Linked DNA regions of Sus scrofa. The protein of the gene in region 2 binds, or shares a complex with, the protein of the main gene of each other region. Links are inferred from orthologs where the notes say so. Each region holds a gene or a part of one and is shown on either strand. Other genes may lie near its edges. The genes, in order: WASF2 and ABI1.

Region 1 (6,329 bases), on a different chromosome or scaffold from region 2:
CGGGGCTGATCCCCCTGTAGAAAGAAAGGTTCACTTTTCCTCTCACCATCTTCATCACTCTTTAAAACAAATCTCTTAATCCAGGAAGAACAAGTGTCAGAAGTGTCAAGATTTCTGAAAGTCAAGATTTTCATGGTAGAGTTATTCCTAAAAGCAAGGACAACTCCACTCTTTCCTTTTATCGTCCCTAGACACCCGGCATGGGCTGGCATGGTTCTCTGACAGCCAGGATGCAAGGTATTTAGGGGAAAAACCAGCGCGACATTCATGCCAAGCAGTCGTGGTGACTTGGCTTTGAATGTCACACAGGTCAGACACCAGGATAAGAATCAAACCAAGCTTTCAAACCATTTTTTTTTTTTTTTCCTTTTAAACCTCTAGTGTGATTTGGAATTGGGAAACGGGGTCAGACTGACATCTACTATTTCTCCACAGAGATATACAGCCTCAATGCTAGCCGTGCGACTGTTCCCACACTGCCTCTGAGGTCGGCTTCAGCCCCTTGGCCAGCCTCTCTCCCAAGACTGACAAAGGCTGACTGAGAAGTGGCTTTGGCGATGTGCACAAATTCTCTGCCTGGCCCTCCCCACACCAGTGAAATGCCCAGCTCTTAGCCATGACCTTCAAATCAACACTCTGGAGGCAAAGGCCTTCCAAGACCACTTTTCTTCCCTTTCTAGTCTTTCCTTTGAGGCCCTCAGACATAGCCATGTCTGGAAGAGCAAGGGCACTAAAAGCCATGGGCATTCTTTTTCCAGGCCATTCTGGTCATCTCATTTAAACTGCTTGAGTCTCTTGATTTTTTTTTTTTAGCAAATTTTAATCACCAGACAGAGGCACTTTAAAGTAGCTGATTAACAGTGGTATTGATTTAAGCCACAGAGCCAGACTTAAGGGTGTATGAAAGGTGTCACACATAAGCTGTCAGACGGCTGCCCTCGGGTACCCAGCCCCTTCCAAGAATGCTACCAAGAGAACAAAAGCATCACCTACCCAGACGGCCCCAGCTTTTCTTTGGATTCCACAAATTCTTGACCCATCTTCATTTTCTCCCACTCTTCCTTACGTGTCTTGATTTTACGTGGGTTTACATTCCCTCGATTTGGATTATCTTTCTTTTCTTTCTATAATGAAAAGAAACAGAAAAGCCTTAATAAAACACTTCCCAAAGTTATTCAGTAAAATTCCATCACTTTCACGGATATACACCCATGCATATGCTGTCTATGCCTAGAGAGCATACGGTAACTACAGAATTCATAGAACTGCTGGGTTTAGAGTGACCTAGAGGTCATCTAATCCAAACCACCTCCTGGGATCAAACACAGTTCCTCAATCCCACACTCAAACATTTCTAGCAATGAAACCCCATTACCTCTTTGGGTAACTCATTCATGGTTTTGAGCAGCTCTAATTGTTAGGAAGTTAGTAAACTGTTATTTGCTATGCCACAAAGGTCAGTCAAGAGAGAAGAGAAATAATGACGGCGACAGATATCTGGGACAGATATAAGGAAATAGTTAAAAACAAACCAAAACAAGCAAAGAAGAATTCTTCAGCCTGTGCAGCTGCACTAGCCCCTGGCACTCTCTTGGGCCTCCTGGCAGCCACACTAATGGGATTGTGAGGTTGTACCTGGTAGGTCATATGCTTACACACATCACTGGGAGTCTGGGGGGAGCATCTACCAGTGTAGGCCTAGGCCCCCACCTCTGCCCCGCCCAACCAGTAGTCAAGGTGTTAAACCGCTCCTGTTACAAATCAAACACTGTAGAGCCTTGTGCTGATCTGAGAAACGAGCTGCAAAACTGGCGGGGAAGGGACTAGCCTAGTTTGAGTGTCCAGCAGAGTCAGGTGCAAATTGCAAGAGAAATAAATGGTGAATAGAAAAGTCAATTTCTAAAACTCAGCCTGAATATACTCGCCTGTTAATAGCGCTGAGGGGAACAAACACATTTTTGGTGTGATTTATACTTTCATCTTGGTTGTGCTTGGAGTGGACACATTTTTTTAAGAGTCTCACCTGGCATCCAAGCAACCAGCCACTCGGAATGATCACTTCACATAAGACTGGCTTCCTTTTTATCCCCCCTCCACAATCGTGCCTACTGATGTGTAGAACAGAGGCCCCCTTCCCCTCACCCTGTGCTTTCTCTTCTCTTTCATGATATCCTTGGTGTCCTGCAGCATCTTCTCCTTCCAAAGATCAAAGAAGTACGAAGGGTCTGTGTAGAATTTGAGTGCCTCTTTCCCATCGTCCCTGGGATAGAAATGAAGACAAGTAGCTGTCAGTAGACAAGACGAGCTCCCAACCAAATCAAATATTCCAAGCACCTACCAGTTAGCAAGGTTTTTTCGGGGGGGGAGGGGTGAGGGGGGGCTTTTTAGGGCTGCACCCGAGGCATATGGAGGTTCCCAGGCTAGGAGTCAAACTGAAGCTGCAGCTGCCGGCCTACGCCACAGCCACAGCAACACCAGATCCAAGCCATCTCTGCGACCTACAGCACAGCTCACAGCAACTCCAGATCCTTAACCCACTGAGTGAGGCTGGGGATCAAACCTGTGTCCTCATGGATACTCGTCAGGTTCTTTACTGCTGAACCACAGTGGAAACTCCCGGTTAGCAGTTTTTACACTGAGGACTCAGGAAGTTGTTCAAATCAACTGCATATTTCTTCTCCCATGCCAGCATTCCAGTGCCCCTGAATGGCATGGCACCTCTTTACTTATCTGGTTTTTTAAGAACTTTAGCCTTACTTTCAATTCCTGGTAGAGGAATTTGCATGGTCAGGGCAAGAATGGGCTAAAGCAGCAGGGATCCTGATTATTTCTAATGATCTCCATGGCCACAGACCTCTCCCTGAGGACATTTTGATCCCTTAGCACATCAGACGGGATTTCTGCCACTGGTTCCCCTCCTCCCATTAACTGCCCAGAACTCTCTAGGAAGCATTAGTGGTTCCCACCCACCCAAACCCGTGCACGCATGTGCAAGTTCACATGTGTACATAATGTGTGTATATACACATATGAATGTGCATATCTGTGCAGCTGCTATTCTTCTACAAATACTGGTAACCAAAGCACTCCACCTACTTGCTCCCTTCCAGAATAGCTCAGCATTCACCCCTACCTCCACCCCAACCACCAGGGGGCCCCAGTGAGAAAAGATGGCCAGCTGTTTTATGACCCTAAGATTTAATTACCACCTCTTAGTGGCTGTGACAGAAGCACAGAGTGAGCTACTGAGTGTCACTATAAGGGCTGTCTGCCAGACTCAATGACCCCTCAATGACTCCGCACTTTGGGATGGCTAGGTCTCTCTCACTTTCCAGAGAACATGTGCTTGGGGTGGACATTTATTTTAACACTACCCTGAACTAAAAAGAATTGTAAAGGTCATTCTTCCCTGACCTCCAATCCTATCACAACACTCAGAAAACATTTCCTAACCAAGCACTAGCGACTTTTATATTACCTCTTGTTTGGAGTTGGCCACACCACTCCTCATGTCTGTTAGGGCAAATCAAGGAAATTAAGAGGAGGATGCTAATAAGGAAAATACCTGAAATTAACTGAAAATAAACTTGTCTTATCACCCTCCCTTCAATACTGTCAGGTGTATAGTCCCTTCCTGTCCTCCAACCCCTCTGCCCTGATCTAACCAGAGCAAACGATGGAGGCTACAGAGTCAAATCCCTGCCCTGCTATGTCAGCTGCCCCTTCGAGAGCCAAGGGGCAAACATAATTTCACACGGCAACAATCTTATAGGAGAGATGCCATGTACTTTTTCTGTATCTGTGTGAGAAGCAACCATGCTCCTATGCCCGATCTCTGGATCAGGCAGGTGTCCTTGAATTTCACACACACACACACACACACGTTCTACTCTGCAGTACACCCGTGTCTTACAGAAGACATCTGCCTCCAGCTATCTGTAATTACTTTTACCTGTTCCAAAGATATTTATGGATGTGAGCAAGATAAATATTCGCTTTCTGCCCCTGCGTGGTGGTTTTTCGCAGGATGATAACACGACCAGACCACAGAGGGGAGGGGCAGCGAGCTGTCTATAAGGCTACCCTTTTCAAGTCCAGCCACAGCACTGTAGGTCTTTTCTGAGGGGAATGTTGAAAGGATGTTCAAAACAAAGTGAGCGACACTCATTTGGAAGAATGCCAATTACTCCTTAAGCTCTGGAAGGACCCTCAGGGCCCAGAGCAGCCAGTCCACAAGGCTGGCCCCACTAACACGCCCAAACATCTGGTAATCTAGTGGTTTCAGAGTAAGTGGGAGCCCTGCTAGAATGTTGCCCCTGGGATGAATGCTATAGGACTGCCTTGTAACAAAGTCCTTTTGGTTCTATAATAACTAAATTCCTTGGATGGAATCCAAGACGGACCAGGCTTATACCAAATTAAACTCTGCAGCATGCGATGCTATAACAAACTTTCAATATATATTATATTTGCTATGAATTTCAGAAACCAAACAATAACAATAACTGTTTATATGGTAAATTTCAGCTTCTGCCGCCTCAAGCAACTCTGGGGTAGGTAGTAAGCTTTTCGATACAACAATCTGCTGGAAACAACATCTTTGAATAAAAAGACAAGCTAGTGTTGTTAACCACAGTCCGAAAAAAGGAGGAGCTCGCCAGGTTACCTGTAAGGGGTAAGATTGTTGAGAGGTGGAGGAGTATCACAGGTGTTGTATGTTTCCAAGACAGGTATGGGGAGAGAATTTCTGTCAAAAAGCTTCTGGTCCTGAACAGTAGAGCTTCGGAAGGCCTTTCGGGTGTTGATTCCTTGTAGTGACACTGAAAGAAGATGGGAGGCATTAGAAAATGGACGACAGGCTATTTGAGCAAACACTGAGTCACACCAGGCAGAGAGGCCTCAGCTGCTGCATTTCTTGGCTGCGGCTGTCTGCAGCCTGGTTTTTTTTCCCCTCTTCTGGGGAAGCCCCACAAGGCTGTCGGCAGCCCAGCCATTTCACGACTGAACAAAATGAGGCAACACAAAGGTTTACTATGTGGCCAGCTCTAGCAGACCTCTCCTTAGGAGGAATGAATCTTCCAAGTACTTTTATGGTAGCAAAATACGACGGGGGGGAAGGGGAATCTGAGACAGAGGGAATTGGGGGAATGGGAGAAAGGGAGTGTGTGGAGGTATGGTAGAGACACAAAGGTTTCTTTACACCACCTAGGCTTGTATCTTTTCAAAGAAGAACTCCATAGGTTTCTATGATTTCTCCCCTCACTTTTTTATAAATCAGGGGGAAAAAAAAATCGTAAGCAACTGCTCAGCAGAGCCTGCAAATGCTGAGCTCAGCTTCCTTACCTTCTTCTTCCTTGGGATCCAGCTGAGTGACTTTAACTTGTAGGCGGTCGACCCTCTCAGCAAGGGAGCTTACCCGAGAGGCAAAAGTATTTGCCTGAGTAAAGAGCTCTCCAAAAATGTCCTCGGCATATTTACCTGAGAGAGCAAAGAAACCAAGTCACTGGTGCATAAAAGTGACATAAATGGTCAGAAAAACTGGTTACTGAAGAATGTACTCCCCACCTCCCAAACACCATCCCCCACTCCCCTAAGATGGTTCAGGCTACATGCAGAGCTTGCCCTTGGAGACAGAAACATACCCTCCAGAGCCTGGGCAGTTTGCATGTGTTCTATAGCTAATAGAGTCTTCCTGGCAAACTCTGGCTGTTACAAAACTCAAGGCAGGCGGAATAAAATCAAAAGTTTAAAACAAAAAAACTAATCCTAGAAGCGTGGATAGTACACCTACACATTTGCCTATAGCCTTAGCCCTTTGCTGCTCTGTAAAAGCACCTTGTAAAAATGGTTCTGGAAAACAGATTGGGAGTTAAAAGGACCTTCTAGATGTTCACAATTAACATGAAAAATAAGAAATTACATCCTCAAGGGAGCCCCAAAAGTATGCTGAACAACCATGATGAGATACTGTATTTTGGGGAGGTCTTTAACTTAGTAACAACTCATAATAGAGACGTATAATTTCTTCTCAGGGGTTAAAAGGTTATTTCATGTTTTTATAACCTGTAACTTTGAAAGTCTTTGCTTTAGGTTATAATCCTTCAAATCTACATCTCAGGGAACAAGTGGAAAGCTGAAACATTCAAGCTCTCCCTGAAAAACAACATACCAGTGGTCTCTTTCCACAATGTCTTGTTTTTTTGAAAAAGAAAAGAGTTCTGTACTTTCAACCCTGGAATGCAAGGAGAATCTGCAGCCAAAGAAACATAACAGCAATCTGACACTACCTCCATATTGTCATTCCAAGCCACAGAGCACATTCTTGCTAG
Region 2 (6,927 bases):
TAAAGATAGTACAAATCAACCAGCACAAACTGTGACAGAGAGGTACTCAATAAATAAAAGCAATTACATTACTCTTCCCTTTTCCATTACCCTTTTCATATATTCTTTTTATCCTCTACATTGCAATAAGCACCCCATTCAGTATTCATTAAAAGGCACTTAGGATACAGAATCAGAAAATCTGGGTTTGATTCCAGGCACTACTTCATACAAGATATGGGACTTTAGGCCAGGTACTTAACATCTCTGAACCTCCAATTGCTCATCTGTTTAAAAGAAAAGAAAAAGGCATGGAATTATCATAATAACTAAGTGACATGGTTTATAAACTGCAATAAATAAGTTGTACGGTACCAAAAATGCCAGCTTTTACCTACTCCAAAGTTCCCCTGCTTAAAAATTACCTGCCTTCCACAATCACCTGGGTATAATGAGCAAATGAGCATAAACTAATGTCACAGGTAGAAGTCAAGCTAAACTACATAGCTCACTGATGATAATGCCTTCATCCTCTCAGACTATAGGATATACTTGTTAACCCAGCAAAGCTCCTGCTACAGGAATTCCAGGCAGAAAAATTATATTAAAAAGTTAGGCTGTAAACACTTTTCTGTCCTTATCCAACCTAGAAATCTGTGTGTTTAGAAACCTTTCTTAAGCAGTTTCTACTCCTTTTCACTTAGATCTCCTTCCTATTTTCCTTTCCTATTACAAATGTGGTATGGTCCCTACAGTAAAGCAAAGAGAACTGACCAAATGTGTGAGTTCTAACTGAAGAGTGTCCTTGATATAATTCACACAAAAAAATTCAAACTAAAGACAGAAAAAGCCAAAGGTTTTTCTTTATGTCATAAATATGGGGGGTTTTTTGGGGGGGTTGGGGTTTTTTTGCCTTTTTAGGGCCACACCAGTGGCATATGGAGGTTCCCAGGCTGGGGGTCGAATGGGAGCTGTAGCTGCCGGCCTACACCAGACACAGCAATGCCAGATCCGGGCCACGTCTGCAAACTACACCACATCTCAGGGCAATGCCAGATCCTCAACCCACTGAGCAAGGCCAGGGACGAACCCACGTCCCCATGGATACTGGTCAGATTTGTTTCTGCTGAGCCATAACAGGAACTCCAACACTTTCTATTTTGAAAATTATTTTCCCAAAGAATTTCAAAAACCTTTTTAAAAAAACAAAAACCTTGGAGTTCCTGTCGTGGCACAGTGGTTAACAAATCCGACTAGGAACCATGGGGTTGTGGGTTCAGTCCCTGGCCTTGCTCAGTGGGTTAAGGATTGGGCGTTGCCATGAGCTGTGGTGTAGGTTGCAGATGCGGCTTGGATCCCACATTGCTGTGGCTCTGGCGTAGGCCGGTGGCTACAGCTCTGATTCGACCCCTAGCCTGGGAAACTCCATGTACCACAGGAGCAGCCCAAGAAAAGGCAAAAAGACAAAAAAAAAAAAAAAAACCCTTTTTAAGACAGTGGGCTCTCTTGAGAAGTTCTGCTATTAATACAATTTAATAATTAAAGTCAACAGGTCCAAAAGAGCTAATAAAGTGCTCAAGGACTAAACTGTACTACAGCCAAAAGAACCTTCCAGCTAAATACCATACCTGACTGAACTGTACTTCAAAACTACAGGAAAATAACAAAATGAAAAGTGATTTTATCTCAGGATAAAAACCACGCTGGCAAAAACTTAACTTGGGGTGTAAAAAAATTCTCAAAACACAAGTGACCATATACTCTTCCCAAGAGAAGGTATGTTTACACAGGGTGTTGGCTATTACCCTGTCACAGAAGGGATACAGAGAGATCTCAAAAGACATGTAAATGGATATTTCTAGTATTATGAGTTTCCTCTTAACAGTAGCGTAGCACATCATAAAGCCAGCTACCAACACATCAACTCTCACAAAGTCCTCATTACCTTCTGAGCCTGTCTGAGCCTCTTGGGAAGGCAACTGGTAGCCAGCTTCAAGCAACCCAAAGTTAGCTTTGGGAGTTCTCTTGTGCTGCAGTGGGTTAAGGATCCAGCCTTATCACTGCAGCAGTTTGGGTCACTGATGTGGCTAGGGTTTGATCCCTGGCGGGGCAACTACTACATATCAAAGGAGTGGAGGTGGGGGGAAGCAAAAAAAAAAAAAAAAAAGCAGCAGCAGCCTCTAACATCAACATTGCTGTGTGTGAACTTCATCTCTTCCCACCCCCACAGCTTACATGGGACTATCTCACTAGCATCAAGTTTAGGACCACCAAAAAGAAACTGGGGGCCACTTACAGTGGATTTTGGCACCATGGTACTAATATGCTTTAAAGACTATGAGAAATAACATGATTTATTTAACTAGGGATATAATGAAGTTTAAAAGTACTTCAAAGTTACATGATGGTAGCAAGAGGGAAAAAAAGGGGTGGGGGTACCTCTAGCACACAACTACCTGAAAAAGAAATACTCAACAGACAGGTTAAAACACGTTTGCATTTGCCAACACATAGCAGTTACCACACCATGTATTTGTCAGATTTCCCAACATGCAAAACAAAAAGAAACCATCCCTTAATGAAGTACCTATCTGCTGATTTCTACAAAGAAATGACTTTCCCTTAATGGAGGCAATTTAACTTCCTGTGCTTTCTCTCTGACTTTCAAAATCTTTAAAACCTTCAGCAAACTGAGAATCACCTCAATTTTAGGGCTTTTCACAATGAAACTTGTATATTTTTGGTATCAATCAACTACAAAATAACTTTTCTGTTTGAAAAGTATATCCACATTTCTAGTAGATTTTAGAATTTTTTTTAAAAGCAGTTTGCAAAAACAGCGAAAACAGTAGATGTAGCAGGCATTCAACAAGTTTATCAGTGGAATTCCTAAAGTAAAATCTTGAAAAAATTTATGAGATAAATTCCTTGTAGTGCTACTGAAGATACAGTGTTACTAATATGGAAATTGAAAAATATTCAAAATATTCTGAAAACAGTATCTCCTTCTAAAAATAAAAAGGAAAGCATTTGCCAACACAGAAACCATTGGTTCTTAAAAATGACAATCACATGGGATGCATTTCTATAAATACCTTAGTTCGGAATTACAGTAACTCTAACCTTTCAAAACACGTTTTGGTCATGCCTTACCACTAACAAGCGAATTTTTGGTGCCATTATCCTGATTAAAAAGGACTCTGCTACTTTTACTTGCTTCTATTGAAAAATGTTAGTTTACCGCAATTAAAGATCTACAAAGCAAACCACCACAACATAATTCACTTTCAATCATTAAAATAAAAGCAAACAAGCAACCACCTATCATAGATAAAGGTCCAAGAATTTTCGAAAACATTCAACAATAACGTATTTGTCGTTATGGTTCTAAGACTAAATGTTCAGTAATCTACTGAGATTCATTCTACACAAGTACTTAGGATGGAAAGAGAGAAACCTCAGGAAAAAAAACAGCAACCGGCGATTACACCATTCTATTTTAAGTTACTTAGGAAGCTAGCAGTTCAAGAACTTTTGAGGAAGAGAGAGTATTTAAGCCATTTTTCCAAGTAGTTAAGAATAATTTGTTTCAAGCTAACGATCGCCCTAACAATCTCTAGAATATATTACGGTGGGGCGGAAGTGAAAATGATGAGAGGGAAAAAAACCCGACTTGAAAATGGACAGGCAGGCAGATTTACAAACCTTCAATTAAAGGAATTTGGAGATTAACTTCTACTCCCTCCCTCGCTCCCCACTCGCTTCCTCCTCTCCTCGGGGAGGTCTCTGTGATGTGACTCACGACCAATTTTTTAAAAAATAAATAAATAAAAGACACACCCTCTGGGCTAAACTGACATAATCGCCCCCACCCCACCCTCCCCCGACACACACACCCCGCTTTTCCTCTCTCTCCTGCCGCTCCGCCCCGCGCCTCGTCCCGGCCCTTTGCTCTCCCCTTGCTCGACCGGTCCGAGACCCCTGGGCCGGCAGAGAGGCGGCAGGGCTCTAGGGGGACTCCGGGGCGAAAGCCCGGCGGGTGGAGGGCTGCCGGGGGGAAGCGCGACTCCGGGGGCTGAGCCCGCGGGGAGGCGGGCGGCAGGGGGGCGCCGGGCTGCGACGGCCGCGAGCTCCGGGCTCCCTCGCCCATTTTCTCTCTCCGCTTCTATGGGTTTCAACCACCACAGCCACTTCCTGTATCGCAGCCCGACTCCCCAAACCCGGCCACTTGCTGTCGCCCCGGCTGAGGCTGGGGTTGAGGTTGGCGCTGGGGTTGGGGTTGGGGTTGGGGCTGCCGCTAAGGTTAGGGCAATTCCCCACCCCTCCCAGTGGGCTGGTCACCCAGGCGGCCGCCGGCGGGTCCTTGGCCCGGCCGGCCAGCGCCCGCCCGCGCGACCGCGCTCCTCACCTGTATGTAGTTGTTTTCACAGTAGTCCGCCACCCGGGTCAGGTTCTGGTAACTCTCTATCAGCGCCCTCTTGCCAGACGGGATCTCCTCCTCTAGTAACATCTGCAGCTCTGCCATTTTCCACCCCTCTGCATCGCTTCCTCTCGCGTTAAAGAGACAGAGGCAGCAAGGTCTGCGGAGACGCCGAGCACCTCACAGCCCGGATACAAACCGCCTGCCCGCCCTCCCGCCTGGTATTGTGGGACGGAACCTCCTCCTCTTCCTCCTCACTCTCTCCACCCGCCTCCACCCACTTCACGCAGCCGCCTCAACCTCTTTTCTCGCGAGCCTTCCTGTCTTTCCCGCCCCCTTCCCGCAACCATGGAAATTTTTTCCTTTGGCATGGCCTTCTGGGAATTGTAGTCTCTTGCAGACGTGGCTGCCCATCAGAAGCGCATGCGTTCAGGGAGCCTCCGAAAAAGAACGAGGAGGAGCATATTTAAAGAACTTGGAATGAGGGTGGTGGTTTAAGTTTCTAGTCTCTTGACGGGTCCGGCAGATGGCGCCGCAGAGTGATACTAGAGAATAAAACCCGGTCCCCGAGAAAGCTGTAATACTTGGTAGAACTTAACTAGGAAATGCCTGTGAATCAGAGATATCAATCTGATAAGGTTTAAAAAGGACTGGAATAAGGATATTCCAGATCTTTACTTCCTCTGTCTTTTTAGAGATAACTCCACTCAGGCTTTATTTTCTAAACTTCTGCCGCCCTCAGTTTACTTAAAATTTAACTTGCCCTTGTTATTGCCAGCTCTACACCAAGCAATGGACTGGGGGTGCAAGTTGAGTAAAGGATACTCGCTCAGTGGGTTAAGGATCTGGCATTGCAGTAAGCTGTGGTGTAGGCCCGAGGCAATAGCACTGATTTGACCCCTAGGCTGGGAACTTCCATATGCCACAGGTGCAGCCCTAAAAAGACCAAAAAATATATATATATATATATTAATATTGAGATTTCCCATTGTGCCTAGCAGATTAAAACCTGAAATAATGTCTGTGAGGATGAGGATTTTATCCCTGGCCTTGCTCAGTGGGTTAAGGATCTGGCATTGTTGCAAATTGCAGCATAGGTCACAAATGCAATTCATATCTGGTGTTGTTGTGTCAGTGGCATAGGCCAGCAGCTGCAGCTTCAATTCAACCCCTAGCCCAGGAACTTCCATATGCTGAGAGTGTGGCCCTAAAAAGAAAAGAAGAAATAAAAAGAAAGCCATGACACATACTTATGACAGAGGACCTGTATCTGGAATATATTAAAAAAAAAAAAAAAAAACTCCTCCAAGTCAATAAAAAAAAGACAGACAGGAGTCCCTGCTGTGATGTGGTGGAAACAAGTCTGACTAGTATCCATGAGGATTCAAGTTTGATCTCTGGCCTTGCTCAGTGGGTCAGGGATCTGGTGTTGCCTTGAGCTGTGGTGTAGGTTGAAAGAGGGACTCAGATCCTAGGTTGCTGTGGCTGTTGCATAGGCCAGCTGCTGCACCTCTGACTTGACCCTTAGCTTAGGAACTTCCATATGCCTCAGGTGAGGCCCTAAAAAGAAAAAAAAAAAAAAAGACAGACAATTCAATTAGAAAATGGACAAGAGGGAGTTCCCGTTGTTGATGCAGTGGAAAAGAATACGACTAGGAATCATGAGGTTGCAGGTTCGATCCCTGGCCTAGCTCAGTAGGTTAAGAATCTAGTGTTGCTGTGAGCTGTGGTGTAGGTCACAGACACGGCTTGGATCTGGCATTGCTGTGGCTGTGGTGTAGGACAGTGAAAACAGTTCTGATTCGACCCCTAGCCTGGGAAGTTCCATGTGCCTTGGGTGCAGCCCTAAAAAAACCAAAGACCAAAAAAAAAAAAAAGAAAGTGGACAAAAGAGGAGTTTCCACTGTGGTGCAGAGGGTTAAGAATCCGACTGCATTGGCTCGGTTTGTTACCAAAGGCACAGGCTTAATTCCTGGCCCAGCACACTAGGTTAAAGGATCCAGGGTAGCTGCAGCTGTGACCTACACCACAGCTGCTGCTTGGATTCAATCCCAGGAAACTTTCAAATGCCACAGATGCAGCCATTAAAAAAAAAAAAAAAAAAAAGAACAAAAAAGGGAGTTTCCTTGTGGCTCAGCAGGTAAAGGATTGGCATTGTCGATCCAGCTTCCACATGCTGCAGATATAGTGAGAAAAAAAATTAAAATGGACAAAGGAAGACAACTCACTCCAAAAAATGCCCACCATGAAAATGTTTATAGTAGCGTTATTCATAATCACTAAAACCTGGGAACAACTCAAATGTCTTTCAGCCAGTTACTGGATAAACAAACTAGTACAACCAAACAACAGACTGCTATATAAATTATAAGGAAAAATATATATACACAAAATCATGGATGAATTTTAAATGCATGTTGCTAGGTGAAAGAAGCCAAACACTCTCTCTTCCCCCAACAAAAAACAACAACTGCACCTAGTATTGACATAACATACTGCATCAGCGCACACACACACAATCACTCACA

What was found.
Region 1: ABI1 (region 2) and WASF2 share a complex: the UniProt entries of both Homo sapiens proteins name them as parts of the WAVE2 complex. The link is inferred for Sus scrofa from reciprocal best matches to the Homo sapiens genes ABI1 and WASF2.

Annotation. Positions count from the first base shown.
Region 1 is NC_010448.4:84,630,282-84,636,610, forward strand, and holds part of WASF2 (wiskott-Aldrich syndrome protein family member 2), read right to left. Parts: intron 5,479-6,329; coding exon 5,344-5,478; intron 4,821-5,343; coding exon 4,667-4,820; intron 2,261-4,666; coding exon 2,143-2,260; intron 1,125-2,142; coding exon 994-1,124; intron 1-993. UniProt on the Homo sapiens protein: Downstream effector molecule involved in the transmission of signals from tyrosine kinase receptors and small GTPases to the actin cytoskeleton. Promotes formation of actin filaments. Part of the WAVE complex that regulates lamellipodia formation.
Region 2 is NC_010452.4:48,937,186-48,944,112, reverse strand, and holds the start of ABI1 (abl interactor 1), read right to left. Parts: upstream 4,658-6,927; 5' UTR 4,505-4,657; coding exon 4,388-4,504; intron 1-4,387. UniProt on the Homo sapiens protein: May act in negative regulation of cell growth and transformation by interacting with nonreceptor tyrosine kinases ABL1 and/or ABL2. May play a role in regulation of EGF-induced Erk pathway activation. Involved in cytoskeletal reorganization and EGFR signaling.